Linked DNA regions of Ovis aries. The protein of the gene in region 1 purifies or fractionates together with the protein of each later gene. This does not show direct contact. Links are inferred from orthologs where the notes say so. Each region holds a gene or a part of one and is shown in the gene's direction. Other genes may lie near its edges. The genes, in order: CAPN2 and AFG2B.

Region 1 (15,619 bases):
TGCGCGGCTGCTGGTGAAGCGGCCGAGGCAGTCCAGTGCCAGCAATTTCATGCACCCTGTGATTCGACGCTTACAAACAACTCTGTGAACTTTGCCACGCAGGTAGTTTTCCCCCATTTGAAGCTATAAAAGAATTGATGGTTAGTGTTTTGACAACTCCAAAGGACCCCACAAATACAAGATATAACATTATCAGCAAAGCTATCACCAGGGGACCCCTTCTATGGAAACTGCTCCCAGAGATGGTGTGTGGTAGGTACCAGCCTCTCTGGCCTCTTGGCAAGAGTCGGATAAAATACCTTGAGTTCCAGCTGACTGATAAAATCATCAAAGGGCCCAAGAAACTGTCTGGGCTTTTGGAAGCTTGCTTTGCCAGGCACGGCCCAGCCTAGCCCTTGGAAACACACAGGACACCCCCTCCGCGCGGTGGAATCCAACAGGCCCTTCCAACCCTTACGGGACACGCATGAGGAAAGAATAAGTTCTGCAGCAGCTCCAGCAAGGAGAAGTCTCTAAAACAAAACCATATGTTGTTAACACTGCAGAATTTGTATTCCTCCTGTTCTCCGCTAGATTCTGATCATGGGCCTGAAAGTTGAGGAGAAGACAGAACTAGCTTTGCCTCAGCCTCAGTTCTAGGGGAGAGATGGCCCCTTGCCCTCCTAAGCCAGGAAAAGAGACTGGACAGGACAAAGGCTCTGTTACATAATAGCTGTCACTCTGCTGGGCCTCAGTTTCCTCGTCTGTCAAATGAGGAAATAAGATCTCCCTGACCAATTAAAGATTTAAATGTGCAAACGTGTATAGTGAGCGGCACTCAGCCTGGCACATAGAGGGGTCAGTTAAGAAGTTGGCTTGGAAGAGTGTCCCCAGGCCCTTCATACCATGCCCGGTCACCTCTCAAGCAGCCGTGCTATGGAGTTGGTATGACCTAAATGCTTTATTTTCTCTTCTTTTCACTTGCAAAAAATAATCTGCAGGAAAAAAGTCTATGAAAGGATGTCCTACTGTATAGGACAGGGCTTCCCTAGTGACCAGTGGTAAAGAATCCGTCTGCCAATGCAAGAGATGCAGGTTCAACCCTGGATCGGGGAGATCCCCTAGAAGAGGAAATGGCAACCCACTGCTGTATTCTTGCCTGGGGAATCCCAGGGACAGAGGAGCCTGGCGGGCTGCAGTCCATGGAGTCTCACTGAGTGACTGAGCACACACTATATAGCACAGAGAAATATACTCAATCTCCTATGATAAACCATAATGGGAAAGGATATTTTAAAAAGAATGTACATATAGATTTAACTGAATCACTTTGCTGTACAAGTAGAAATTAACACAACATTGTAAATCAACTCTACTTCAATTAAAAATATATTGATCAAGAAAAGAAAATCTACTAAAAGAAATTCCTTTGCTGTGGCCCTCTGGCACACACACATTCCCTCTCTCTCTCTGTCACACACACCCCTGCTGATGCACAGACTTGTGCTTTACCCCTAGGCAGTTTTGGGTAATCCCAGCAGCACTGACTCACCCCTGCTCTCAGGACTGGTGACTCACTGGATCGGTGAGGCTGGTAGGGTATATGTGTGTCTGTCTGTGCTGGTGAGCCCTGTGGAAGGGATTGTGTGGTCAGAGAGAGATGAGGTTTTGCCAGATCCAGCGAGATAGCATTATGTGAGAGGCTCTGAGAAGTACAGGGCAGCAGTTATTCAGGTTTTAAAAACTGGATCTCTTCCAATGGTGGGCATGGTCATCACCGTGTGTAGTTATAAGTAAATGTTATGAGTTCCTTTGTGAGACTCCTGTGTGCAGAGGCCCTAAAGGCTGGCAAATCAGCTGCCAGGGCTGCAGAGAAAATTGGGCATTGCACCAGCCCAGAGGGAGGCAGTCCGGGGTGACGAGGAGGCTCCTCTGCCAAGGGCTGCAGGGAGCTTCTGTTAGGGCTGGTTTGCCTTTGTCACTAAAAGGCCTGGGGAACCTCAGCCACTTGCCTGGGAGAAGGGGCTTTCCTGAAACCGGCTGTCCTCCAGCAGACCAGCTGGAGAAGCAGTCTACCCACTTGGCTGCTGGAAGGGTGCACAAGTTTTCTCTCAAGAGCCCAGAGCTCAGCGCCCCAGTGGAAAGTCAATAGTGCAGGAAATTAACAATTTCCAGGAGGTGCTGTCTCTTCCCTCCCTTCTCCACTGGCATGGTTTCATGAAACTCTTGCATCAGCAACCCGTGAGCTAGAAAAGAATGCCTGCGTCCCCCATTTCACCCAAGGGTACAGAAAGCAAAGCCCAGTGCTTGCTGGTAGTGTACGAAACACATTCAGACTTAGATGGGGAAGACTAATCAGAAAGAAAGGCTGTTGCAATCAGGGGAATTCTCCGGTCTCAGAAAGCTGCAACAGTCTCAAAATCAAACAAAATGGACTTTGTGTGTGTGTTTAATAGAGTAAAGGAGGGGCAACAGAGATAAGCAGAATGTTTGGAGGGGAAGCCAGACAAACAAGGGGAAACGAATGGGGTCGGATAGGAAACAGTCATGCTGGAGTCAGCAGATTCTCAGGAGAAGCTGATAAGGGGGGGGCCCAGTCCATTTTTTTCTGTGTTGGCTTGGGCTTGGAGGCAAGGGAGAAACCTGATAAAGTCTGGTCAAGCAGAGGGTAAGAAATGGACCCCTGAACAGCTGGTCAAGGACAAGAATAGATGAAGAAGGAGGAGTAAAGCTGGTGAATACAAAACCAAGCCAAGTGGAGGCTGATTCCACAAAATCAGGCGTGCCTGGGAAGTCCACGCTCGAAGCATTTGGTGCACAGGGCTCAGTCCTCAAATATGAAAACAGACTCATGGCGGGCAATGCAATTCACACATCCTTCATCCTCTCCAGGAAATTTAGAAAATGGGGTGCAATAGGCAGTCCCCAGAAGATTCTGAGGGGGAGAGAGGTAGATCCTTCAAATGCAACCCCTACCCCTTTTAAGACGGATGTGTGGCCCTCAAGATCAACATCAGCGCTGACTTTAAAAAAGAAGCTGGCACCCTGATGATGGGCAAGTACAGACAGCATTGGCTCATACCGCCTGTCAGCAGACCTTCTGGTCATGGACTCTTTGGCTATGAAAGGACCCCAGAGGTCACCACCACCCCATCTCTGAGCCCCCTTTGGCCGAGGGACCCCAAACTGGCTGGCCCTCAATCATTAAAGACCAAACACTTTCTGACCTACGGAGCCTTGGCTGCACAGCCCAGAATCTGTATTTTTAACACACTACAAGTGATTCTGATATTCAGCCAAGCTGGGGAACTCCTGACCCCTTGAACGCAACCAGCAGTGCTGGACTCCCAGCATCACAAGGTGGCCCATTGCACATGGCCCAGCTCCAGCCACTATTTAATCATTTTTCATGGTGAATTAAAATCTGTGCCCCTTCAAATCTGCCACTAGTTCCTTCTCTCCCTCTGAAGCAACACAGAATGAACACATTTCCTCTTCTCCAGGACAATCCTGCAAACACTTGAAGTTAGTACTACCTGCCCAATATCCTCTTGCTTCCCCTGTGGCTCAGCTGGTAAAGAACCCACGTGCCAATGCAGCTCAACAGACATGGGTTCAATCCCTGGGTTGGGAAGATTCTCTAGAGAAGGAAATGGCAATCCACTCCAGTATTCTTGCCTGGGAAAGCCCAAGAAGAGAGGAACCTGGCTGGCTACAGTCCATGTGGTCCATGCAGTCACAGAGTCAGACAGGATGGAGCATGCACACATGCCCATCCTATTATCCAAGGAAAAATGCCTGTTTTCCTTTTTTTGCCTCTGTTTTCTTTGACTATTTCTTACCCATTTTATTTATTTAGTTAGTTTTGATCTAACTCATGAACAAAAGAGGGAACCCAGTGTATGTTCTTGAAAAATTAGTTCAAACAAGAATCTGAAAGAACAATTAGGAATACTAAATGGAATTTGTTAATATAAGCAAAACTGAGAGAGGGAAGACAGTTGATTGCACTTCTACCCCAAGAAGTTCATTTGCATATACACAGACAAGAATTATTTGCATTACTATCAATTTCTACATTGCACAGAGCAGTAAACATCCTGAAGACTATGAAAGGATGCTTAGGCACAGACCCTGGCAAGGTGATTAGGTTTCATCTAATTCTGATAGGGACAGAGTAGGATAATCAAATAGCTCTGAAATCCCACTATGAGATTATATCACTAGACAGAGAAGCAACTTTAGGAGGCTTTGGGAGACCACAGTAAGTTAGTGATCACTCAAGAAAGCCAGGTTTGCTTAACCACAAAATCAAGCAGGCTTGCTTAGTAACAAAACCATGCAACAGAAGCATCAGACATTCCCCCAAAACAATAAAACAAAGGTGGCATGAGGCCTATAACCTGACCAGTGAGTTCAGTAAGTTAATGACCCCTAGGACATGCTCTCTGCACACATAAAGAAGCAGGAGATATTAAGAAGAGGTGGCAAAAAGAACTGTACAAAAAATATCTTCACGACCAAGATAATCACGATGGTGTGATCACTCACCTAGAGCCAGACAACCAGGAATGTGAAGTCAAGTAGGCCTTAGAAAGCATCACTACAAACAAAGCTAGTGGAGGTGATGGAATTCCACTTGAGCTATTTCAAATCTTGAAAGATGATGCTGTGAAAGTGCTGCACTCATTATGCCAGCAAATTTGGAAAACTCAGCAGTGGTCACAGGACTGGAAAAGGTCAGTTTTCATTCCAGTCCCAAAGAAAGGCAATGCCAAAGAATGCTCACACTACTGCACAATTGCACTCATCTCACATGCTAGCAAAGTAATGCTCAAAATTCTTCAAGCCAAGTTTCAACAATACATGAACCATGAACTTCTAGATGTTCAAGCTGGATTTAGAAAAGGCAGAGGAACCAGAGATCAAATTGCCAACACCTGTTGGATCACTGAAAAAGCAAGAGAGTTCCAGAAAAAGGTATATTTCTGCTTTATTGACTATGCCAAAGCCTTTGACTGTGTGGATCACAATAAACTGTGGAAAATTCTGAGAGAGATGGGAATCCAGACCACCTGACCTGCCTCTTGAGAAACCTATATGCAAGTCAGGAAGCAACAGTTAGAACTGGACATAGAACAACAGACTGGTTCCAAATAGGAAAAGGAGTACGTCAAGGCTGTATATTGTCACCCTGCTTATTTAACTTATATGCAGAATACATCATGCAAAATCCCAGGCTGGATGAAGCACAAGCTGGAATCAAGATTGCCGGGAGAAATATCAATAACCTCAGATATGCAGATGACACCACCCTTATGGCAGAAAGTGAAGAGGAACCAAAAGGCCTCTTGATGAGGGTCGAAGTTGAGAGTGAAAAAGTTGGCTTAAAACTCAGCATTCAAATAAATAAGATCATGGCATCTGGTCCCATCACAGAAAATAGATGGGGAAACAATGGAAACAGTGAGATACTTATTTTCTTGGGCTCCAAAATCACTACAGATGGTGACAACAGCCATGACTAATAGATACTTGTTCCTTGGAAGGAGAGCTATGACAAACCTAGATAGCATATTAAAAAGCAGGGCCATCATTTTGCCAGCAAAGGTCTATATAGTCAAAGCAATGGTTTCTTCCAGTAGTCATGCATGAATGTGAGAGTTGGACCATAAAGAAGGCTGAGCACCGAAGAACTGAGGCTTTCAAACTGTGCTGTTAGAGAAGACGCTTGAGAGTCCCTTGGACTGCAAGGAGATCAAGCCAGTCAATCCTAAAAGAAATCAATTCTGAATATTCATTGGAAGGGCTGATGCTGAAGCTGAAGCTCCAATACTTAGGCCACCTGATGCAAAGAGCTGACTCATTGGAAAAGACCCTGATGCTGGGAAGGATTGAGGGCAGGAGAAGGGAGTGACAGAGGATGAGACGGTTAGATAGCATAACCGACTCAATGGACATGAGTTTGAGAAACTCCGGGAGATGGTGAAGCTTGGTGTGCTGCAGTCCATGGGGTCACAAAGAGTCGGACAGGACTTAGGGACTAAACAACAAAGAGACAATGGGACACAGAGAGGTATCTGATCTCTAGGCCTCGAAGGTCCCCACCACACTGAGCCTATAATCTTTGCAGATATCTCTGGTGATTGCTGTGTTCTGGAAACAGGTCCTTTATCTAAATTCTTCAGGCCATTATCAGGAAGGTCAGTTTCTTCCTGAGTCTCCTGGGCCTCCATTGTTTCCAGCTCAAAATAATCCACATGCCAAATAAGACATTTTGAGGTGGCAAATTTTGCTTCCTTAAATAAGAAATGATTTTTTAGTATGCCGCCATTCACTGTTTGGAACATACCTATAGTGAAAAATCATTAGTGTTTACTTGAAATTCAAATTTAGCTGGGTGTTTTACTGAATGAAACTTCGTGTGCCCGACACCCAGTGAGGCCAAACAAATCGAAACAGTTTGGAGCAGAGGAAGGTTTATTGCAGGGTCATGCAAGGAGACCGGGGTGTCTCATTGTTAAAAAGCCCTTAACTCACTTAAGGAATTCAGCAAAGCACCTTTAAAGGCAAGCTGAAGGAGGGGCATGGTTAGCTGTTGCAAACTTTTTGGTGTTGGAATCCTTTCTTAGCTGTCCATGTAGGTCAGGTCAAGATGTTCCCATAAACTTTCAATGAAACAAATGTTATTCTCTGTTCCCCAACTTTTTATCTCTATGTGAATGGACTCTTTTAGGTCAGAGCCCTGAGACTAGGCTCCCCTATATATTTCAGGCTATAGGCAACATTTTTTTTTTTTTTTAACAAAAGGTGCAGAACCAGCATGAGTAAGCACAGGCAACACAACAGATCTAATATGGAATCAGATTTGTTCTTCCCTGTTACAGGTGGATGTATTTTTATTTGCCAAATCTGACCCTGCTCTCTGTGATCGTACAGCTAACTAGTAGCAGTGTGTAGCCTTCTGATTGTAACACGCCTCTGGTAACTTGGAATCCTTGTTCCGCCCCAAATTAGCTGAGCAACACTGGGTGATGTCATCTAACCTCTCAGTTGCTCAGTTTTCCCATCTGTCCAATGGAGTCTATAGCAGAGAAACCACCTTCTTACAGAGCTGATTTCGTCTCCTCCAGCTCTCTCCCCTTCTAACTCACAGGGTGTTTCCTGGAGAGTCAGGATAGCCCCAGCCTTGGGTTTCCGCCAGCCTTCTCCTGCAAGTGGGAAGCCGGCTAAAGTGAGACTGGATTTGAGTCCCCGCTTTTCCACCGGGATGCCCTGGGTGCTCGCAGCCGGCCCGCTCGGCCATCCCGGGCGCCGTCCGCAGGTGGCAGCACCGGCCCCGCGGGCCGCCGCCGTCCGGCTGGCGCTGTGCAGGCCGCGGGCCGCCAGGGTCCCGGGTGGGGCGCCGAGCAGGCCGGGAGCGGCCAGGCCACGCCCGCAGGGCGGAGGGCGCCGCGGGACCCGGTGAATCATCGCCGGCGGCGGCCGCTCACAGTCCCGCTGCCGCGCGCCGGGCCCTGGCCGCGCCCCTGCCGAGCGCCGCTCATCGCCGCAGCCGAGACCCTCGCTCGCTCGCCCGGCGGCAGCGCGGGCACCGGGCCAACCATGGCGGGCATCGCGGCCAAGCTGGCCAAGGACCGGGAGGCGGCCGAGGGGCTGGGCTCGCACGAGAGGGCGGTCAAGTACCTCAACCAGGACTACGCGGCGCTGCGGGACGAGTGCCTGGAGGCCGGGGCGCTGTTCCAGGACCCCTCCTTCCCGGCCCTGCCTTCCTCCCTGGGCTTCAAGGAGTTGGGACCCTACTCCAGCAAGACCCGGGGCATCGAGTGGAAGCGGCCCACGGTAGGGAGCGCGCCCGGGGCGGGATGCGGGGCCCGGAGGCGCTGCGGCCCGGCCTCCGAGCTGGCGAGAACGCGGCCCCGCGCGCGGGGAGCCGCGGGAGCGCGGGGAGCCGAGCCCCGCGGCCCGGAGCCCGACCCGGGGCTCCGCTGGCGCGGGGTCGCCCGCGTCCCATCTGCCACCCACGGGGCCCTTAGGACGCGCCGAGGTGCACACTGCCCACATATGGCACTAGCAGGCCCGCCGGCAAAAACTCTCAAAAACGCGGGTGACATAAGGGGGCCTGAAGGAAACTTCTTGGACTCTGCCGGGCGGGCCCGAGAGAAGGGAGGCCGCGGGTGGGGGCGGGCGGGAGACCGGGGCGTGGGTGTTACGGAATTTCGCGGGGGAAGTCGGCCTCTAACTTGGTTCTCTCTGCTTCAGGGAGAAAGTCCACGCATAGCCTGGACGTTTGTGACTAGGGATCGTCTTTTGAAGTGATGGTTAGATTTATCCACGCAGTTTCCTGTTTATTTTTCCAGATGGGAACTGGCAAGACAGCTCCCTGTAGTATTTACCCTGGTGATTATCAAAAGGACAGGGGAGATGCAGCCAGGAGCCGCTTCCTTCTCCTCACCCCGGAATCTCCCGGCCTCCTCTGAGCTCCCTTTTCCCACCGGCCCCGGATCTCTGTCCTCCGTGCCCTGGCAGGCCTTGGGTGCAGTTTGCTTCCCTGATCAGTTTGTACATCCTGTGTCCCTGGGATCCCTCCTGGCCCCACCTCCTATGGGACAGACACCTCTCTGGCCTTCCCCCACCACACCCCAAGGAGGCCTCCTGGGAAATCCAGCCTCTAGATTCCTGTTAGGAAAATAAGCATTCCTGTCCTGCTTACCCCACCCCACCCCCCGAACCCCCACCCCCACCCCCATCAGCTGGTCACCTTCTGTTACCCCAAACCCAGCCTGCAGGCAGCAAGTGCAGTAGGAGGTACCCTTGGCCCAGAGCACTTGAGTTCATTTCTTGCTAACTTGAGTGAGCTGTTTAACCTCTGTGCCTCCATTTCTTTATCTAAAAGAGAGAGTTTCCTCTCTCCACTGACTCACCAAGCCCAGCACCTTTTAGTTTCTCAAGGGCACCCTGCTCTTTCCTGCCTCACTGGCCAGAGATGCTCTTTCTTAGTTTTCTGGAATCTGGCTCACTCATTCTTTGGGACTTAGGTGTCTCCTCCCCAAAGAGATTTTGTCCTGACCATTCGTTGCAGCCCCCCTTCTCATCTTGTCATTCTTTATCATGAACTTTATCATGCTAATTTCCTTTACAGCATTTCACAGTTCGTACACATAATTACATGTATTGGTTTGTCCTTCCTACTGAACTGCAGGGACCTGTGTGTATTGTTCACCAGTCAATCCCTGGTGCATTCAGAGTATGCTTTCATTTGTTCATTCATTCATTTAGCAGTATTTGTTGAGGGCTTGTTAAATGTCAGGCACTGTCTTAAATGCTTGGGATACATCTGTGAACAAAAAGACTCTTGGTGGAATGAATGAATGAATGCAAGATTGTAATGAGCCTCAAACAAAATTACGACTGTGAAAGTGATAAACGAGAATGTAATTGCCTTATGTTTGTACAGTACTTGACAGTTTGTGAATTTATATACTTCTTTCCTTATTCTTTCATTCATTCAAAAAGCTTATATCGAACACCTACTGTATGCCAGGCATAGTGCATATTGGTTTTTGCCTCTGAAGGCATTAGGGGTTAGACAGACAGGTCACCCATCAGTTGGGAATGCCTGTAGGATTTCCAGATGGGAAAATGGAAATCTAAGCCCATTTTAGAGCCCCAGGTTAGGGCGGGACAGGGTATGAACTGAGCAACTAACGGGGAGGGCAACAGGTATAGACCCATTAAGCAGTTGAAGAAACTGAGGCTTGAGAAGGTTAAATATTTGCTTATACAGGTGTCTGGGGCTGGAGCCAGGACTGTCCGCCTGTGGGTGTTTAGAGTCCACAGTTCGCAGCCACTCTCTCTGCCTTCTCAAACAGCTGTAGTTCAGATCAAGCGAGACAAACAAAAATGTATCCACTGGATCTAGACAAAAGCAAGTCACTGGTGACTTTAACAGAGCAATTGCCATGGGGTAGAATGAGATGGTTAGGTAGCCTCACCAACTCCATGGACATGAGTTTGAGTAAACTCTGGGAGATAATGGAGGACAGAGGAGCCTGGTGTGCTGCAGTCCATGGGGCCAAAAAGAGTTGGACACAACTTAGTGACTTAACAGCAACAACTGAATTGCAGTGGGTAGGAGCCAGACGGCTGTAGACCCCAAAGTAAGGAGCCAGAAATGAAGAGCGTGCTCGGGTAATTCCAGAAGCGTTCTTGTGAAAGGAGAGGAGGGAAAGTGGCAGGGAGAGTAGGACCTGGGACTCGAGAGGTTTTTTTTCAGATGAGAGCAGTTGGAACGTTTTATATGTCAAGTCCCAGGCTTCCCTGGTGGCTCAGTGGTAAAGAATCCGCCTGCAATGCAGGATCCACAGGAGATGCAGGTTCGATCCCTGGATGGGGAAGATCCCCTGGTGCAGGGCGTGGCAACCTACTCCAGTATTCTTGCCTGGAGAATCCCATGGACAGAGAAGCCTGGTGGGCTACAGTCCAAAGGGTCGCAAAGAGTCAAGACATGACTGAGCATGCACACAAGCATATGTCAAGCCCCAGAGAGAACGGAACTGAAGAGAAAAGGAGGCCCCGAGGAAGTGAGAGGAGGGAGGGGAGCGGGCCAGCCCTGGAGCCAAAGGGCTGCCCTTCCTCAGAGGGGGTTTCCCAACACCCTTTCCCAACAGAGGGTTCCGCAGATGGGAAGAGGACACGGCTAAAGTCACTGTGGGCTGGTCACCATCAAGGATGGCACCAGTCAGGTTGGAGCGAGGGCAGACATGTCAGTCCCCACCTTGCCCTGACCGGTGCAGGCCTATGGGCTATTAGGAACCGGGCCACACAGCAGAAGGAGAGCAGCAAGTGAGCAAGCAAAGCTTATCAATGTTTACAGCCGCTCCCCATCGTTTGCATTACCACCTGAGCGCAGTCTCCTGGCATATCAGCGGCGGCATAATAAATGTAACATGCTTGAATCATCCCCAAACCATTTCCCCACCCCACCCCATCCGTGGGAAAATTTGTCTTCCACAAAACCAGTCCCTAGTGCCCAAAAGGTTGGGGACCACTGATCTAAGAGCTTTATGACTTGTTTACACTCAGCTAGCTGAATTCAGCCTCAAACCTGCATCTCCTGCCTCCAAGTTCAGTGATTATGATACTCCTTCAATAACTATAATAGTCGGTAACTTATATAGTGCTTACCAAGGCACATGTACATAGTCATCTCATTTAAACTTCGTAGGTACACTTGTCATCACTATCCCCATTACACAGATGAGGAAACTGAGTCTTAAGGAGGTGAAGTAACTTGCCAGGGTCATAAAACCCACTGTATAAGAAGTGGCAGAGCCAGGAGTCACACTCCAGCTAACTCCAAAGCCCAGGCTCTCAACCCCTTTCCTGAGACTGTGATGTTCCATATTTAATTCATGCCCTTCATGCTGTGTACAAGTTTCAATTTCCTGAAGCATCTCTAAGAGCCACTCTAAACTTTGCCTTCTTTGGAGAGGCTGCCAAAGGTGTGAAAAATTTCTCAAAAATAATGGAAAAACCCTTCTGGGATAAGTGCCTGGTGCACCGAGGATTATCAATATGATTTCTAGGCTCCCAGCACCAAGTTCCGTGTATTCCATCAGCAGGATAAGTGCTTGGCTGGCAGGCCTCGGACAAAGCTGGCTTCGTCTGCCTCAGCAAAAAAAGCATTCTCACTGTGCCTGTCTTCCCCCAGACAGACCCACCCAAACAGGGAAGGGACAATGCAGGCATGAGAGGAGTGTGCTCTGCTGTGGATTCCAGAAGGGTCTCCAGTCTAAGCCACGATGGACAGGGGCTAGATCCTGGCCTCACCCAGGAAACGCTTCTGCTTGACAGAGAGGGGGCCCACCGGGCGCTCTGGGGTGGAGCTTCTCCAAATCAAAGGGTCCCGGCCAAGGGAAGCCCTGATTTATGCTCTGTGTTTCCTCTGTGGTTTTGGGTGGGGCTCTTCAGAATCAGGAAGCATGCTCAGAGAGGGCAGCAGAGGGGCCAGCCCTGTCCAAGTTTGGCTTCCAGTAGGCGACCTGTGGGACAGCCCTTTTTGGCTTGTTAGTAATCATTTAGAGGCAGTTCAGGAGGGAAGGGAGTGTACAGATTACAGCAGTCAAATCCCATTGCTGTCTGCAGCCATGAGCGATGCATCTTGGGACACGTAGCTTCATCTTAGCCTGTTTCCTCACCTATAAAATGGGGTTGTTGCCCATCCATGTTCCTGAGATAAAGCACCACACACAGTATTGACATACAGCAGGCTCACAGTATGTGGACCCCCTGCTCCAAGTATCATGGCCTGTAGGCAAATCCAGAAAGCTAGACACCTTCCCCTATCCTCAAGAAGCATAAGTATTAGGAAGACATAGTGGTATCCAGCACCATGTACAGCACACATCTAGCTGCTGAATTGCAGAGGATAGATACTCTGGGATTCAGGATGGAAAGGATGGGTGAGGGCCAGACTGTGAAGGAGGGCTTCACGGAGTTCGTGGCAGTGGGTCTTGAGATATGATAAGATGTAGAAAAGGAGGGAACTGGGTCGGAGAGGAGAAATCCCATGCAGGAACAGAGGAGGGGGCGGGCATGGTGGGCAGGGCAACTCCAGAGTGTGGACCATCTCCAGGCCCCCACACGAGGCTGGACTTGGCACTGCCCTGGCCCTAGGAAGTGGCGTGATGAAGTAGGCTCCAGGCAGTGTGGGGTATTGGGATCTGGTGGAACAGTAGGATCCCCTACCACCTATCAGGACCCACAGAGCAGGAGTCAGAGAAGGACCCCATGGCAGTCCAACGGCCAGGCATTCCCTAGAGGAGAGGGGAGAGACAGAGGGGTCCGGTGCATCTGTTGGAAACTGAGGTGTGTTAACTACAAAAGTATATGGCATATACGCTGACAATACTTTGTGGGTCTCATTTTCAGGAGATCTGCGATGATCCCCAATTTATTACTGGAGGAGCCACTCGCACAGACATCTGCCAAGGAGCCCTAGGTAAGTGATGGCATCTAAGCAGACTACAGGGGCCTGTCTACACAGCTGTGGGTAGAAAGAGTAAGGGATGAGTTATGATTCCGCTCTCTTGCTAAACCCTTTGGCAATTTCTATTTCCAGAAGCTTCCTTGAATGTCTTGTTTCCTTAGGATCCTGTGGTGTGGTAGACAGACAGACAGAGGTGCAGTGAGGACACGTGTGTCCCCTGCACCAGACTGGGCTGTTTGTTGCTGTTGTCATTTTAAAGAGTTGAGATTATTATGTTTTTTTACTATGTATCTATTTTTGTGCTGGGTCTCAGTTGCAGCATATGGACTTTTCAGTCTTTGTTGCAGCATGCGGGATCTTTAGTTGTGGCACATGGGTTCTAGTTCCTTGACCAGGGATCAAGCCTGGGCCGCTGCCCTGCAGTGCGAATGAGAAGTCTTAGCCTCTGGAACACCAGGGAAGTGCTGGGCTAGTTGCTGACGTTGCATAGATGCTCCCACTGGGGGACAGAGGAGCTCCTGGATCTCAGCCACCCTTAGTGGCCCACGGAGCAGCCAGGCTCCAGGCTGAGGACCAGTTAGGAGGACTCCCCTGGGTCAGCTGCAGCACTGAGACATCAGTTCTCTGTGGTTCAGGGATGGGATGGTGACTCATTGTAAAGGAAGAGGAAACCCTGGTAGTCACTGCTGGGAGGAAGTTAACGTACCAGGGTGTCCTCAGTGTTTGCAGGGCAAGCTCACCATGGTATCACAACAGTGGACATGGTGCTGTTGTCACAGAGGCAGTTGTGATGTTCACTTAAGTAGTTTTAACTGGAGTAACTGAGTTGTGAGGGTATCTGAAGCCGGGCTCTGATTTCTGAATACAGTGCCTGCTGAGACTGGAACATACAGGCTGCTTTGACCTGAAAGCACCTGAGTTTTATTTTTTTATTGATTTTGTTGAAGGATAGTTGATCCACAGTGTTGTGCTAGTTCCTGCTGTACAGCAGTGACTCAGTTATACACATACATGTCCTTTCTCACACTCCTTTCCATTATGGTTTATCACAGGACCTTGAACAGTTACCTGTGCTCTACAGTAGGACCTCGTTGCTTATTGCCCCCAGGGTTTCTTTGAAGAAGTTTTAGCAAAGGAGCCCGGGACCACTGTTTAAGATTCTCATAGAGTCCACGCTTATTGTTTTACTCCTAGTAGGTATGAGCCTATGATCACGGGAGCAGCTTACTTTGCTGCAAATAAACCAAAACCTTACTTTGAGACGTCAGCTTCGACTTGTTTTCCAGACTAGCCCATCAGTAGCAGAGTTAATCGTCTTTGAATTGTGCCTTCTTTCCTGGCCCACCCAGCAGAGGTTCTGTCCTGGGAGTGACTTGCTTAAGGTCATCCCGCAGCTGAAGCGAGGGCCTGGAATGCAAATGCAGACGGTCTGTGTTTAACCCCTGAGCTAGACTCCCTAGAAGGGACATGGAAAGTTTTCAGCCTCTGAGGGATGTCGGGGCAGCTCTGTGAATCATTAAGACGTTAAGACAGGGTATGCTGGGAGCCCCTTGGGAAATGGAGAGCATGACTCAGAGCTAGGCGTGCAAACTCCACTATCTGAGCTCAGCATCTGTGTGCAAATTCCTGAGATGCCAGAGCACACTCTTACCTAAAGAATACCTACCTCCCATTTCCTGCCTTCTCTCCCTCACAAAAGATAGACCCAGGGGCCCTTAGGCACCTAAGGTGGGTACTCCAGAAAAGTCCAACTGGTTAGAGAAAATGAAAGTTAATTGAGCTAGAAATTGATGGAGATTACAACTAACCACAGGGGTTTTAGAAAAATCTGGAAACAGAAATGGCAACAGTCATATCTGGGCTAAATTCCACACCTGGGCTAAACATCCACTTCAGAGCTTAATGACCTCTTAAGGACCAAATTGCAAGATGTAAGTCCTGTTGGAATACTGTCAGGCCATTTGGAGAGGAGACACAAAAAGTTTACATTCCTGGGGTAAAAATCGACAAGATATGTATCAAATTAAATAAAAACAAGTCTAAGTTAAAGTCCTTTCAAAACTTCTCAGTAATTAGGTGTCATTTCTAAGTTTTGTTGGTTTGTTGTTTTTTTTTTTACACCACATTGGCCATTTTGTTCTCTTGGCCTTTTGTACTGGAGGATCCTGATTTGATTATGAGCTGTGAAATGTGGTGAACTGAACTCTCACCCTGATTCTGGCATCTGGGCAGAGGGTGGGTGTGGGGTGGTGGCTGTCACCAGGTCCCTGAAGGTTCAGAAGCATCAGGAACAAAGGGCAGCAACACCTGCCACACGACTAGAGACAGGAGTGGAGGCTCAGCTTGCAGTTGGCTGACCTCAGTCATCACTAGGAACCTCAGTCTCTTCTAAAAATGGAAAGTGAGGAGGGTCAGCAGGGTGATCTCAAAGATTTCCCGACTGTGGGGCATTCAGCTGTTCTAGAGTCACTCCTCATGCCTGACACTGAGTGGAGATCTTGGGCTAGGCCACCAGATCTCTCATCTCAGACGAGGAGTGATAACAGCCCCTGTGACCCCATGTATTCGTGCTAAATCGCTTCTGTCCTGTCCAGCTCTTTTCAATCTTATGGACTGTAGCCCTCCAGACTCCTCTGTCCTTGGGATTTC
Region 2 (14,930 bases), on another chromosome or scaffold:
TCTCCTTTGCTTTTTGCTTCTCTTCTTTCCACAGATATTTGTAAGGCCTCCTCAGACAAAGCAAGACTAAAGACAGAGACATAGAGAACAGCTGTGTGGATACTAAGAGGGAAGGGTTGTGGCCGGAATTGGGAGATTGGGATTGACATATATACACTATTCATGTTATTTATAAAATAGATAACTAATGAGACCCTACCGTATAGGGAACTCTACTAAATGCTCTGTGGTGACCTAAGTGGGAAGGAAATCCAAAAAAGAGGATACATGATTCACTTTGCTGTACAGTAGAAACATTATAAAGCAACTATATGCCAATAAAAATTTTTAGAAATTACAAAGCTGTTCTTGAGAAGTCTGAATTTACTGTCTTTATTCTTCAAAGAGAATAGAAAGCAATAGGATTAAGAGAAAGAAGAAAACAGGGTTTAATTGGTGATTTCCCCATCTCAGGATCTCCTCTCAGTAGTTTCCTGGTTTTAGGTTGTTCCAACCTAGGAGCTGGAAACAGACAGCAGAGGTCAGTAAGTGACTATGGACTCTAGAAGTCAGTCATAAGTGTCTGCAAAGCTATAAAAAGGGCCACGAGATTTTACCAAACCCAACACCGCGGCAAACTAGCCTGACCGTCCCATCATTGTCTAACTTAGTCTAACTTCCCATTGGTCCTTTCCACCTATCAGGACCCACTTCAGCGGCTTCCCTGGCGCATGCGCATCACCTGCTTCCGGCCACGGTGCGCCGGTCTTTCCGGCCCGGTGGAATTCCTGTCCGATTTTCCTGGGTTTCGAGTCTTTCGTGAGAAATGGCTCCGGACTCGGGTTCCTTTCCGGAAGGACCTCCCTTAAAGCTGCTACCCGTAGAAACTAGGGATCGGGGCACCCAGCGCTGTCGTCTAGGCCCTACGGCCCTCCGCGCCTTAGGCGCCCACCTGGGCTCGGCTGTGAAGATCTCGCTGCCTGACGGTGGCTCCTGCCTCTGCACCGCCTGGCCGCGGCGGGATGGAGCGGACGGCTTTGTGCAGCTGGACCCGCAGTGTACGAGCCCGGGGACGGCAGTGGGCGCGCTGGGGTCTGGGGGCGTTATTAACCTGAACAGCCTCCGCTTAGTGCCCTGCCCGCCCCTTCGGCGCCTCGCGGTGTGGCCGGAGTTGAGGGAGCAAGCGGGTGCGTCTGGTGCCCCGAGTCCAGCCGCTGTGCTGGAGGCTGTGCAGGAGCTGCTGAGGAACCGTCCAGTCTCTCAGGGCCACGTGGTGGCCGCTCCTCCAGGCGCTCCGGGTCCAGTGGCCGCCCTGCACATCGTTAGCGGGGCGCCCAGCCCGAATCCGGCTGGGCTGGTCACCCCTCGCACCCACATCAGTCTGAGCGAGGTGCCTCCGTCGGAAGAGGAGCCGCAGCCCGAGGTGCCCCTGGGGGGCCTTTCGGAGGCGGCCGACTCGCTGCGGGAGCTCCTCCGCCTGCCGCTCCGCTACCCCCGCGCCTTGGCCTCGCTGGGGCTAGAAGTGCCACGCGGGGTGCTCTTGGCCGGCCCCCCGGGAGTGGGCAAGACCCAGCTAGTGCGGGCAGTGGCCCGGGAGACGGGCGCGGAGCTCCTGGCGGTGAGCGCCCCCGCGCTGCAGGGCGCCCGGCCCGGGGAGACGGAGGAAAATGTGCGGCGGATCTTCCAGCGCGCCCGGGAGCTGGCCAGCCGCCGTCCCACCCTCCTCTTTCTGGACGAGGTGGACGCCCTGTGTCCCCGGCGGGGCGGCCCACACCAAGCCCCCGAGAGCCGCGTGGTGGCCCAGGTGTTGACGCTGCTGGACGGCATCGGTGAGGACCGCGAGGTGGTGGTTGTGGGATCCACCAACCGGCCGGATGCTCTAGACCCAGCGCTGCGCAGACCTGGGAGGTTCGACCGAGAGGTAAATAAAGGCTCAGCCAGTTAGGGCATTGCCCCTGAATCCGGCCTCATCTGGCCCTGGTTGGCTGCCCCGAGGAGTTTCCCACTTAGCTTTGGAAGCCAGGGAGACTGGAGTGGGGCTTTTATTTAGAGAACCTGTTCTCTGGTTAACAAATGATCTGCAAGCCAGGACCCTTTCCCTCCCAGAGTCAAATTGCTCTGAGAAGCCAGGGGGCCGATTGGAATTGTTGCAGGCCCTGAGGATGAATACTGTTATCAGTAGTGTTAGTTTTTAAGGACTACTACAAGCTGTGGTGTTGGAGAAGACTCTTGAGAGTCCCTTGGATTGCAAGGAGATCCAACCACTCCATTCTGAAGATCAGCCCTGGGTTTTCTTTGGAACGAATGATGCTAAAGCTGAAACTCCAGTACTTTGGCCACCTCATGAGAAGAGTTGACTCATTGGAAAAGACTCTGATGCTGGGAGGGATTGGGGACAGGAGGAGAAGGGGACGACAGAGGATGAGATGGCTGGATGGCATAACCGACTCAATGGCCGTGAGTCTGAGTGAACTCCGGGAGATGGTGATGGACAGGGAGGCCTGGCGTGCTGCGGTTTATGGGGTCGCAAAGAGCTGGACACGACTGAGCGACTGAACTGAACTGAACAAGCTATTAAACTCTTAGGATTTGGAATGAGAATCTAAAGTAGAAGGATAGCCTCAAGAAACAAATGTGTTGAAATGAGAAAGAAGGCAGGGAAGAAATAAATCAAAGCAGACGTTAACTCTTCTATCTAGATTTATGCATTCCTTGTCTGAATGCCAGCATCCTGTACCACAGTTGCTCTCTTAGTTGTCAGGAAGATTGAATATTCAAAATATTCAAATATTCAAGTATTATTTTATAAACTTCAGCCCTAAATTGATTCTTGATTTCTGTTAGATAGTTTGAATAGTGGTTGTGATGTTTGAACTTTGTGGTAGGGTTGTAAAGAGACAGCTGATAATTGCAGACTTTAGCATAATCTGTTTAGAACTTAAGTGGATTTCTTCTTCACACCATCTAATACCTGTCTGCTGAATAAGCTCCATAAGGGTAGGGACATAGACTTTCTGATTTACTGGCTCCTAGAAAGTGATAGGTTCTGAAAAATAACAAAATAAAAACTTCCTGACGTTGTTGCTGTTGTTCAGTCACTAAGTCATGTCTGATTCTTTGCAACTGCATGGACTGCAGCACACCAGGCTTCCCTGTCCTTCACTATCTTCTGGAGTTTGCTCAACTCATGTCAGTGATGCTAAGTAATCATCTCATCCTCTCTTACTCCCTTCTCCTTTTGCCTCCAGTCTTTCCCAGCAGCAGGTTCTTTTCTAATCAGTCTGCTCTTTTTATCAGGTGGCCAAATTATTGGAGCTTCAGTGTCAGCATCAGTCCTTCCAGTGAATATTCAGGGTTGATTTCATTTAGAATTGACTGGTTTGATCTCCTTGCAGTCCAGGGGACTGACTCTCAAGGGTCTTCTTCAGCACCACAGTTCGAAAGCATCAATTCTTAGGCACCCAGCCTTCTTTATATGGCCCAACTCTCACATCTACATGACTACTGGAAAAACCATAGCTTTGATATATGGGACCTTTGTCAGCAAAGTGATATCTCTGCTTTCTCATTCGTTGTTTAGATTTTTGTCATAGCTTTCTTTCCAAAGAGCAAGCATCCTTTAATTTTGTGGCTGCAGTCACTGTCCACAGTGATTTTGGAGCCCAAGGAAATAAAATCTGTCACCATTTCCACTTTTCCCCTTTCTACTTGCCAGGAAGTGATGGGGCCGGATGCCATAATCTTAGTTTTTTGAATGTTGAGTTTCAAGCCAGCTGTTTCACTCTTGAAAATAAGGATTTTCTCATATTCAGAATCTAAGATATGTACTTAAGAGTACCTAGTAATAGTTCCAGATTTGTTTGCTAAATTATTATACGTTTGTGAGGATAAAAAAATATTTTTAAGCTGTAAATGTTTTCTTTTCTTGCTTTGCACATAGGTTGTCATTGGAACTCCTACTCTTAGACAAAGAAAGGCAATTCTACAAGTGATTACTTCAAAGATGCCTATCTCTGATCAAGTTGATTTGAACCTCCTTGCAGAAATGACAGTTGGCTATGTTGGCGCAGACCTGACTGCACTCTGTAGGGAGGCTGCCATGCAGGCTCTCCTTCATAGTGAGAAGGTAAGAAGTATTGGTTTATGACCTATGTTAACCCTTTTATTAATGTAACAAGTTAATTTGGGGACTTAAAAAAGTGGTAAGTACCTTTTCCTGAAACTTTTGACACCTTAGACATCTGTTTCTTATATGTATTTTTACATCTGAATTCCATATATAACTAGTGTATGACTGAAAGTGGGGACAGAGAGCTGACTTCTCTAGGTCGGTCGAGGGCATGTTCCCATTCTCCCATACTAACTCTTTAGTGCTAAAGCCCAGTGCAATAAGGAAAAAGACACTGTGACCCCAGAAGAATCAAACATGTGTCTTTAAAATTTTCATTTTATTTTGAATCTACTTCAGACTTAGAGAAAAGTTGTAAAACTAGTACAAAGAATTTTTTCATTTTCTTCACCCAGATTCTTCAAACGTAACATTTTACCACCTTTGCTTTATCATACTCTCTTCATGTGTATGGATGTTTATGTATATATACTCATACTCTCAAATGCAGCCAGAATGCCCGCATAGCTTTGAAAAGTTGAGTTGTTTATTTCCTAAAATCAGACTAACCAATAGTACAAACAATAATCAAGATGAAGAAATTAATACCAACTTTTACTTAATCTATATAGACCTTATCCAAATCTCACCATTTGTCCCATTAATTTCCTTTGTAGCAAAAATTTTAAAAGGAAAAAAGAAAAGAAAATTTTTTTGATCCAAGATTACACATTGCGTTTTTTAGTTGTCATGGTTTCTTAATCTTTAATCTAGAAACTTCTTCAGTCTTTCTTTTATGACTTTAATTATTTTTAAGAGTACAGTTCAGTTGTTCTGTAGGATGTTCCTCAGTGTAGGTTTGACTGATATTTTCTCGTGAGTTGAGTCAGGTTTTGCATTTTTGGCAGAAATATTCCAGAAATGATACTGTGTTCTTCTCATTGTGTCTGTTAGGTAGAAATGATATATCTTTGTCCTGTTACCGATTTGATATCTTAGATAAGGTCGTTATCTCTGAGATTTCTCCATTGTTAAGATACTATTTTTCCCTTTGTTATCAATACGCATCTTGTAGGGAAAAGAACCTTTTCTTACTCTGGAGAAGATTAGGTGCCTGGAATTTTACTTAAATTCATCTTTGACATTTAAATCCTTAATTCATGAGTGCCTTTTGAAAAAATAGTTGGGATATTAACTTAAATGTAGTAGTTTTCAACACTATAGATTGGAAAATCTGTTCACTTTGTATGTAATAAGTCATCCTGAGTCCCTAAACTCCTCCAGAAAAAATTTAATTTCATTGTGCTAGGGGTTCTGTTGTAACACATAAAATTGTCCTTTGATCTTACCCCTAATTTTGAGGATTTTTTTTTAAACCATAAGAGGATGATTTATCCTAGATTTTGAAAACATTTTTACCTAATTTAATCCTTCCTCATCTTCTTTTCCTTTATTTTTACTCTTACACTGAAGGTAGGGAAGGAATTACGTGAACTTTAATTCCTCATCTTTGGGGTTTAGAACCAGAAGTGCTTAAAGATTTAATGACAAGTCCCATGTGTGAAGATGTGAGAATATATGCCTCTTGAATGGAGGACGCGAGTACAGGATGCAGGAACAGAGGTTTACATTTAGAATTCCCTCTGCTTTGAAGTTCCCGGTTTGACGTAAAGCACCTTGGCTTAGGTGGACCAGACAGCTGCAGTTGTCCTAGGGTGGAGCCCACTGCTACTTCAGGAGGGCCTGCCTAGGCATGGTTAGCACAGGTGATGGCTGAGTTCATAAACAACCAGGGGAAGTGGAAAAAAAGAAAGGCAAAAAGGAAGAATGGACAGAGGCATCTGGGTAGGTACTGGTTCCATCTATTTCTTTTTCCATCTCTAGGCAGCTGAGGGGCTGTTGCCGCCTCTATTACAGGGCAGATGAGGACACATTAGAGTTTGTTCAGCTTCTTGTCAAGTATGTCTATTAAAGCATTGGAAATACAGTTTAACACATAAACATATACACATGGAGGGGAAAGGATTTTATCTGCCTGAAAGGGTTATGAAAATCAAGTGAATAATACATACACACTAATGATCTGGAAGTGTAAATGGGATTTTCAAATGTTAGTTGGTACTCACCTAAAGTGTATTAGTATTCATTTACCCAATATCTGATACTGCTAGCTAGTTAAAAAAAAAAAAAGATGCTATTTAAAAAAATTATTTAATAACATTCTTTGTGAGAAATTAAACAAGATAAAAATTGTCTGAAAGCTCATCTCCCAGAGATTATAGTTATTAGCATTTTTAGGAACAGTTAATGATAGCTCTGTATATATATATTCACTTATTTAATCTTACATAAATGGGATAAAATAGTTTGTTATTGAAAATGGGAATTTGGGGACAACTAAATATTCAGAATTTTATGTAAGGGTAAATACTTAAATATAATACAGATATTACAAATAGAAATGTGAATTTTTAATAGCCAAAAAGAAGATATTTACTGATTTGACCATTCTAGAATGGCAAAACAATACTATTTTTAAAAAAGATGATAAGTTCAAAGGCAAAACAAACAATACTGTAAACAAAGGCAAGGACATGAGACAGACTGGGAAAAATACTTTCAGCCCATGACAAAAGACCAATTTCCTTGGTATAGAAGGAAGTCTTACAAAGCAATAAGACCAATCTAAGAGAAAATGTATATAAAATATGAACTGATGAACTGGTAGTTGACAGTGAAAGGATTACAAATGACTAATAAACATGAAAAATCCTCAACTTTCTTTAAAGATTCGTCTTTTTTGATTCTTTCTCTTTTAAAAACTGATTTTGAAATAATTAAAGCTTCAGGGGAAAATTTTTTTGAATTAAAACTTCAAGGAGAGGTGAAGGTAGAGGACTCCTGTTAATTCCTTTATCCAAACTGACAAGTTTTTAACATTTTGCCATATTAGCTTTATCCTCCTCTCTTTTCTCTCGTCTCTCTGTCTCTATATATACAGTTGATTTTTGAGCAACGTGGGTTTGAACTGCGCCAGTTCACTTATATATAGATATTTTTCAATAGTAAATCCTACAAATAGTGCACGGTCCAGGACTAGCTGAATCCACGGATGTGGGGAACAACAGATTTGTTGGGCTACCTCTACTTAAATAAGGATTAACCTCCATGTTGTTCAAGGGTCAACTGTATACATATACACATTGTTTTTTTTTTTCTGAATCATTTGAAAATGGGTTGCATGCATCTTAACCTGTTATCCCTTAATATTTTAGTGTCCATTTCCTATGAACAAGTATGTATAATCTCATTATATTCAAGAATGTTGTCAGATCTACAGTCCCTATTTTGATTTTGCTGGCTGTTTCAAGTTTTATAGCACTCTTTTCCTTCAGTGTAGAATTTAGTCCAGGACAATGTATTATGTTTAGTTTTTGGTTTTCTTTAATTTTGAACATTTTCATAGCACTTTCTTGGTGTGTGCGCGACATTTTGACATTGACATTTTTTAAGATTTAAAGTCAGTGATTTTATAGAGCATCTATCAATTTGGATGTGTCTGTTTCCTCCTAGTTAGATTCAGGTTATGCATGCCCATTGGGAGCACTGCATTAAATGTTAGTGTGTCCTTCTTAGGATGTCATTTGTGGAGACTTAGTGTGTCCACCGGCTCCTCACGGGGGGTGCCTCTTGTGGGTGACTGGTGCGATCAACTAGTCAAGCATTGGTCCGGTTTGTCTGCTGTAGAGCTGTTATTTTTCCCTTTGCAACTAATAAGAAATCTGTGAGGAGACCCTCTGAGACAATGCAGACATCCTGTTCCCCGTCAGACTTTCTCTCCCCTAGATTGGCATCCGCTGATGATTCTTGCCTCAAATAGCCATTACTGTAATGGTTGAAAATTTTATTTTCTAATTCCATTATTCTTTTTACCTCACTCTTGATTGAAGAAATTTAATTAACGCAATAGTAAACACCGTGTCTTCTGTCACAATGGCAGAAATTTAAGGTTTGGTCATGTCCAGTGTTAGAGAGATGTGGGGAAAATAGCTTCATATTATTGGTACAGCTTGGAGCACATTTTAATAGTAGCTATGAAAATTGTAAGTGTGCATACTCTTAAGCACAGTAATTCTATTTTGAGGGAAGTATTATATAAAATACTTGAACATGTGTACAAAGACATTCAGTTGCAGCTTTGTGTTTAGTACCAAAAGACTGGGAAACCTCTGTTCAATACAAAGGTGTCATTAAAATACTCACGCAATGTTATGCAGTTGTCAGAAAGAATGAGGTATTATTGTATTCGTGGACATGAAAAGATTCCTGAGAGATGAAAAAGTACAAATTAATGTGTACAGTATGGTCCCATTTGTGTGTCTTTTTGAAAGGATATACACATGTCATAAACATACTGGAAGAATACACAGGAGACTGTTGGCATTCTCTGGGGATGAAGATTGGTGGGAGTTGAGGGGGAGACATTTAATTTTTTCATATCATGTGTTATAAATTTCTTTATAGTGACAACAAAATAGATGTATAAATTCAAATGAGGATCACAATAAAAAAGTAATCATGTTTGTGTGCCACAAAAAAGGCCCACCTGATTTTTGGTTTGATTTCGCTTTTTGGGGTGGATTACTTCAGAACCAGGACAATCCGACGATTGATGAAACAGACTTCCTTGAAGCTTTTAAAAAGATCCAACCCTCGTCATTTCGAAGTGTCATTGGACTGACAGACATCAAACCTGTTGGCTGGGAGCAGATTGGTGGCCTTGAAGATGTAAAGCTGAAATTAAAGCAGGTGAGATAGAGAATCTACTTGGCCAGTAGAATATGATGGTCTAAGTGTAATGCACTTGTGGTGTAAACAAGTGGCACTGAAACTTATGGCTGCCTTCACTAATGGGAACCTAACATCTTGCCTGGAAAATCCCATGGACGGAGGAACCTGGTGGGCTGCAGTCCATGGGGTCCCTAGGAGTCAGACACGACTGAGCGATTTCACTTTCACACATTGGAGAAGGAAATGGCAACCCACTACAGTATTCTTGCCTGGAGAATCCCAGGGATGGGGGAGCCTGGTGGGCTGCCGTCTATGGGGTCGCACAGAGTTGGACACGACTGAAGCGACTTAGCAGCAGCAGCAGCAGCAGCAACATCTGGATCCAATGATTGCTTTTCCGTCCTTGTTTAACTGGACTCTACAGACATCAAATGCCATTTTTCATACTTTCTTTCTTCATCTTTTTGCTTAGTTTTTGCTCTAAAGAGTTTCTAATTTAGATGAAGGGTCAGTAAACTCTTTCTGTGGAGGACCAGAGAGTAAATAATTTAGGTTTTATGGTCTCTGTTGCAGTCATTCAACTCTGCTATCACAGCACAAAAGCAGTCATATGTAATGAGTATTTGTGTTCTGATGAGATTTTATTTATAGACACTGAAGTCATATAATTTTCACACCACAGAATATTCTTTTTTTTTTTTAACATTTAAACATGTAAAACTGATTCTTAGTTCATAGACTGTACAAATTCTTCATTCATAGGCCTGAATTTACCCCCAAACTGGTAAAAACACAAAATTAACAGTCACTTTGGCCTGAGTAGTTACTTGATACTGATTCTCACAGTGGCTGTTAAGGGTCACAGCTCACCGGATTTTCTTACCTGCATTGCAGTTCCAGAAATTAATTTTTCTAATTCCCTTTTGGGTGATCCTGCCATAAGAAAGTAGGTTTCTCAAATCAAGCACACACAAGACTAATTTATAAGTATCCATTATAATTTATTTATCTTAACTAGGAGCTGTATGTACAGTGAACCCTGATATCCTTGTATCCATGGATAGGCACATTTTGTTGTTGCTAAGTCACTAAGTCGTGTCTGACTCTTTGTGACCCCACGGATTAAAGCATACCAGGCTCCTGTGTCCTCCACCATCCCCCAGAGTTTGCTCAAATTCATGTCCATTGAGTCTTTGTTCCTCTCTAACCACCTCATCCTCTGTTGCCCCCTTCTCCTCCTGCCCACCCTCTTTCCCAGCATCAGGGTCTTCTAGTGAGTCAGCTGTTTGCATCATTCCAGTGAATATTCAGGGTTGATTTCCTTTAGGATTGACTGGTTTGATCTTCTTGTGGTCCAAGGGACTCTGAAGAGTCTTCTCCAGCACCACAATTTGAAAGCACCCATTTTTTGGCACTCAGCTTTCTTTATGGTCCAACTCTCACATCTGTACACAGCTGTTGGGAAAAACCACAGCCATTGTCCACAGTGATTTTGGAAGCCCAAGAAAATAAAATCTGTCACTGTTTCCACTTTTTCCCTTCCCATTTGCCATGAAGTGATGGGGCCAGATGCCATGATCTTAGTTTTTTTGAATGTTGAGTTCTAAACCAGCTTTTTCACTCTCCTCTTTCACTCTCATCAAGAGGCTCTTTAGTTCCTCTTCACTCTCTGCCTTTAGAGTGGTATCATCTGCATATCTGAGGTTGTTGATATTTCTCCCAGTAATCTTCGTGCATATTTATATGTGTGTATGTATATATATAGGAGAAGGCAGTGGCAACCCACTCCAGTACTCTTGCCTGGAAAATCCCATGGATGGAGGAGCCTGGTGGACTGCAGTCCATGGGGTCGCTAAGAGTCAGACACGACTGAGCGACTTCACTTTCACTTTTCACTTCCATGCGTTGGAGAAGGAAATGGCAACCCACTCCAGTGTTCTTGCCTGGAGAATCTCAGGGACGAGGGAGCCTGGTGGGCTGCCGTCTATGGGGTCGCACGGAGTTGGACACAACTGAAGAGACTTTGCAGCAGCAGCATGTATATATGTATTTTTGTGTATGTATATATATGTATGTATGTATGTATTTGACTGTGTTGGGTCTTAGTTGCATCATACAGGACCTTCCATCTTCATTGTAGCATGTGGGATCTAGTTCCCTGACCATGGATTGAACCCAGGGCCCCTGCCTCGGGAGTGTGGAGTCTTAACCACTGAACGTCAGGGGTATCCCTCTCCCGGTAGTCTTGATTCCATCTTGGGTTTCATCCAGCCTGGCATTTCACATGATGCATAGAAAGTTAAATACTCTGCATAGAAGTTAAGTACTCTGCATAGAAGTTAAATAAGCACAGTGACAATATATAGTCTGTATACCTTTCCCAATTTTGAACCAGTCAGTTTTTCCATGTCCAGTTATAACTGTTGCTTCTTGACCTGCATACAGATTTCTCAGGAGGCAGGTTAGGTGGTCTGATATTCCCATCTCTTTCAGAATTTTCCACAGTTTGTTGTGATCCACACGATCAAAGGCTTTAGCATAGTCAATGAAACAGAAGTGAATGTTCTTCTGGAATTCCTTTGCTTTCTCCATGATCCAACAACTGTTAGCAATTTGAGCTCTGATTTCTTCTGCCTCTTTGAAATCAAGTTTGTACATCTAGTTTTCAATTCACTTCAGCCAGCTGAAGTCTAGGATTTTGAGCATAACCTTGTAAGTATGTGAAATGATGCAATTGTATGATAATTTGAATGTTCTTTGGCATTGCCCTTCTTTGGAATTGTAATGAAAATTGACCTTTTCCAGTCTTGTGGCCATTGCTGAGTCTTTAAAATTTGCTGACATATTGAGTGCAGCATTTTAACAGCATCATCCTTTAGGGCTTGAAATAGCTCAGCTGGAATTCTGTCACTACCACTAACTTTGTTCGTGGTAATGCTTCATAAGACCCACTTGACTTCATACTCCAGGATGTCCAGCTCTAGATGAATGACCACACCATCCTGGTTATCTGGTTCATTAAGACTTTTTTGTACAGTTCTTCTGTGTATTTTTGCCACCTCTTCTTCATCTCTTCTGCTTCTGTTAGGTCCTTAACCATTTCTATCCTTTATCTTGCACATCCTTACATGAAATGTTCCCTTGATATCTCCTGTTTTCTTAAAGCACATTTAAATATGCTCTAATTTTTTAATATGCTCTCATTTAATCTTCACAAAATAGCCATACTTTCCTGTGAGACACACTGTCTTCCTTTAGCGCTGAGATGTTAGGCTTTCCTACCTTTTTGAGCACTCCTCTCCCTTATTTTAAATGTTAATTCTCCAAGCTCCCAAGAGTCCTCTTTTTGCATTTTCTAAGTGAGTCCTTCATCTCTCATCTCCTGAAGCGTGTCCCAGGCTTTAGCTGTCTCCTGAAAGCAGCTAACTCAGAAATCTTTATAACCCGTGCAGATAGTTCTTTTGACCATCAAAACTACTTAACTCCCTGCATACTAAATAACTTCTAGGGATCTCGGATTCAGCATGGCATGTCCAGAGTTTACCTTACCAATTCCATCTCTATAGCTGGATGCCCTCTCCCAGTAAAGACAGCCAGTTGCCCCATCCCCTAAGTCAGAGACCTGTCTTCTAGATGCATGTCATGTTGCATGTCACATACCTTCCCCTCTGGACTTCCCCCCTGCATAAAGTACACTTACATTGTATGTTTCAGGTCCATCCCTCCCACACGATCTCTGCTGCCTGTGACACATCCAGCCTTATTATTTTTGTAGTCTGAGTCATTGCACTCATTGACCACTGCTAAGTGGTTTCCGTCCCTCTGGTTTCATTTCCTTCTAGTTCATTCTCCATACTGCTTCCTCATTGTTGACTGAAACTGTCAAGGCCCAGTGTGATCTGACTCCTACTTCCATTTCAGCTCCATCACTCCTTGCCTCCCACGTCCTCCACCCTGTTCTGCTTACCACTGGGAGATGAACTGGATGGTTGATGTGTCTCTGTATATATTTGTCCATGGAATGCCCTACTCTGGCCTGGTTGTTAGTTTTTAAGCCTGTCTCCCCAGTTACAATAGGAATTTCTAGTACGGGATCTTGTCTGTCTTTTTTTGTAGAGGCAATGTATCGGTAGTTAAGAACTCCCGCTCTTGACCTACACTGTCTGGGATTAGTCTTAGTTCTGTTACCTCACTCACGTTAAGGTAATAAGGCCTGGGCAAGTTACTTCACTTTTTAAGCCTGAGTTTCTGCATCTCTGAAATTATGATAACAAAATCGTCTACCTCAGAGGTATTGAAGATTTATTTATAATTCAGCTAACATTTAATGAGTACCTACTTTGTGAAGGTGTCATTCTAGGTGACGGGGATTTAGAGGTGAACTTTGCCTACATTCTGGCAAGAGCAGAATGACAAACTCAGCATGGGGATACAGTAATTTCAGATAGCAAATGAGTTAGTGCTCCAAAATTAAAAAATGGGTAGTAGCATAGAGTGCCCAGGAGGAAGAAGGTCTGTTTTAACTACAGTGGTTAGGGAAGACCTCTCCAAGGAAATGACTGTTGAGTGGAGACCTGTGTGATGCAGAATAGCATATAAAGATCACAGGGGGTGTTCAAGCAGAGAGACTAGCAAGTAAAGGCCCTGAGATGGGAGCAAACTGTGGGGTGTTTGGGTGATGGGTTATGTTAGGCCTTCTAAGCAGTGATAAGTTAGGAGTTTGGATTTGAATATTGTAATTCTGACGAGAAGTCATTGAAAGATTTTAAGCAGGAAGTGATGTGACCTCACTTATGTCATAAGCTCACTGGCTGCTGTGTGGAGATTAGACCCCATATCCAGCTCATAGCAGGTAGCTGAAGATTGTTGAATGAATTTATTGAAAAAAAATTTTTTTCACATTATACTAAGACAATTGTCTCCTTTTGTGTCCTGTCTCTTTTTGTGTTCTTTTAGAGCATTGAATGGCCTCTGAAATTCCCTCGGGAATTTGTTAGGATGGGCCTGACACAACCAAAGGGAGTTCTCCTATATGGGCCCCCTGGGTGTGCCAAAACCACGCTGGTGAGGGCCCTGGCTACGAGCTGTCATTGCTCTTTCGTTTCAGTGAGCGGAGCTGATCTCTTCTCGCCTTTTGTTGGAGATTCAGAGAAAATCTTGTCTCAGGTTGGTTTGTTTATTTTCCCTCATGTAGTTAAGTTTACTTTTTAATTTTTGTTTCATGCATTAAGAATAAACCTTATTTTTTTTAATGTAACTGGCTATTTTTACTGTTAAGAACATTATACCTATTTGTGTATAGAAAACTTAGAAAATATAGAAAAGTATAAATAGGAAATCCTCCACAATCTCTCTACTTACTGTTAACATTTGGGTGAATTTTCTTTGTTGTTTTGTTTCCTTGGGCAAGGGAATGAATGGATATTATATATATAATACTATAATGAGTGGATATACATATATAAAATGAGTGGATAATATATACCTATCCACTCATTTTATATATGTATATATATATCCCGGCTTCCTTCATAGCTCAGTCGGTAAAGAATCTGCCTGCAATGCAGGAGACCTGGGTTCAATTCCTGGGTCGGGAAGATCCCCTGGAGAAGGAAATGGCAACCCACTCCAGTATTCTTGCTTGGAGAATCCCATGGACAAAGGAACCTGGCAGGCTACAGTCCATGGGGTCACAAGAGTCAGACACGACTGAGTGACTAAACCACCAAACCACCATATATATATCCATTCACATATGTATACATATACATACATATATATCTTTATTGTGATTTAGCTTAGTGTTACCACTTTTAAAATTCAGTAATATTAAATGTTTTTTGAAAATAAGATTTTTAACCCCTGTATAATACTGTTCTTTATTTTATTTGTTCATTCCCCAGTTCTTAGACATTTATAATCTTTCTTTTTATATTTTAAAAATTATAAATAGTAGTGCAGAAAGCATTCATTCATATGAATAAGGCATGATGTATAGCCTTTTAATATTTCCACTTTTGAACAAAAGGTATTTCGACAAGCAAGAGCAAAT

Evidence for each region.
Region 2: the proteins of CAPN2 (region 1) and AFG2B purify together in Homo sapiens (co-immunoprecipitation; 3 studies listed by BioGRID and IntAct, with this or other methods). This does not show direct contact. The link is inferred for Ovis aries from reciprocal best matches to the Homo sapiens genes CAPN2 and AFG2B.

The regions. Positions count from the first base shown.
Region 1 is NC_056065.1:26,310,331-26,325,949, forward strand, and holds the start of CAPN2 (calpain-2 catalytic subunit), read left to right. Parts: upstream 1-7,584; coding exon 7,585-7,821; intron 7,822-12,912; coding exon 12,913-12,982; intron 12,983-15,619. UniProt on the Homo sapiens protein: Calcium-regulated non-lysosomal thiol-protease which catalyzes limited proteolysis of substrates involved in cytoskeletal remodeling and signal transduction. Proteolytically cleaves MYOC at 'Arg-226'.
Region 2 is NC_056060.1:63,172,671-63,187,600, reverse strand, and holds the start of AFG2B (ATPase family gene 2 protein homolog B), read left to right. Parts: upstream 1-791; 5' UTR 792-805; coding exon 806-1,900; intron 1,901-3,919; coding exon 3,920-4,105; intron 4,106-8,737; coding exon 8,738-8,896; intron 8,897-13,834; coding exon 13,835-14,044; intron 14,045-14,906; coding exon 14,907-14,930. UniProt on the Homo sapiens protein: ATP-dependent chaperone part of the 55LCC heterohexameric ATPase complex which is chromatin-associated and promotes replisome proteostasis to maintain replication fork progression and genome stability.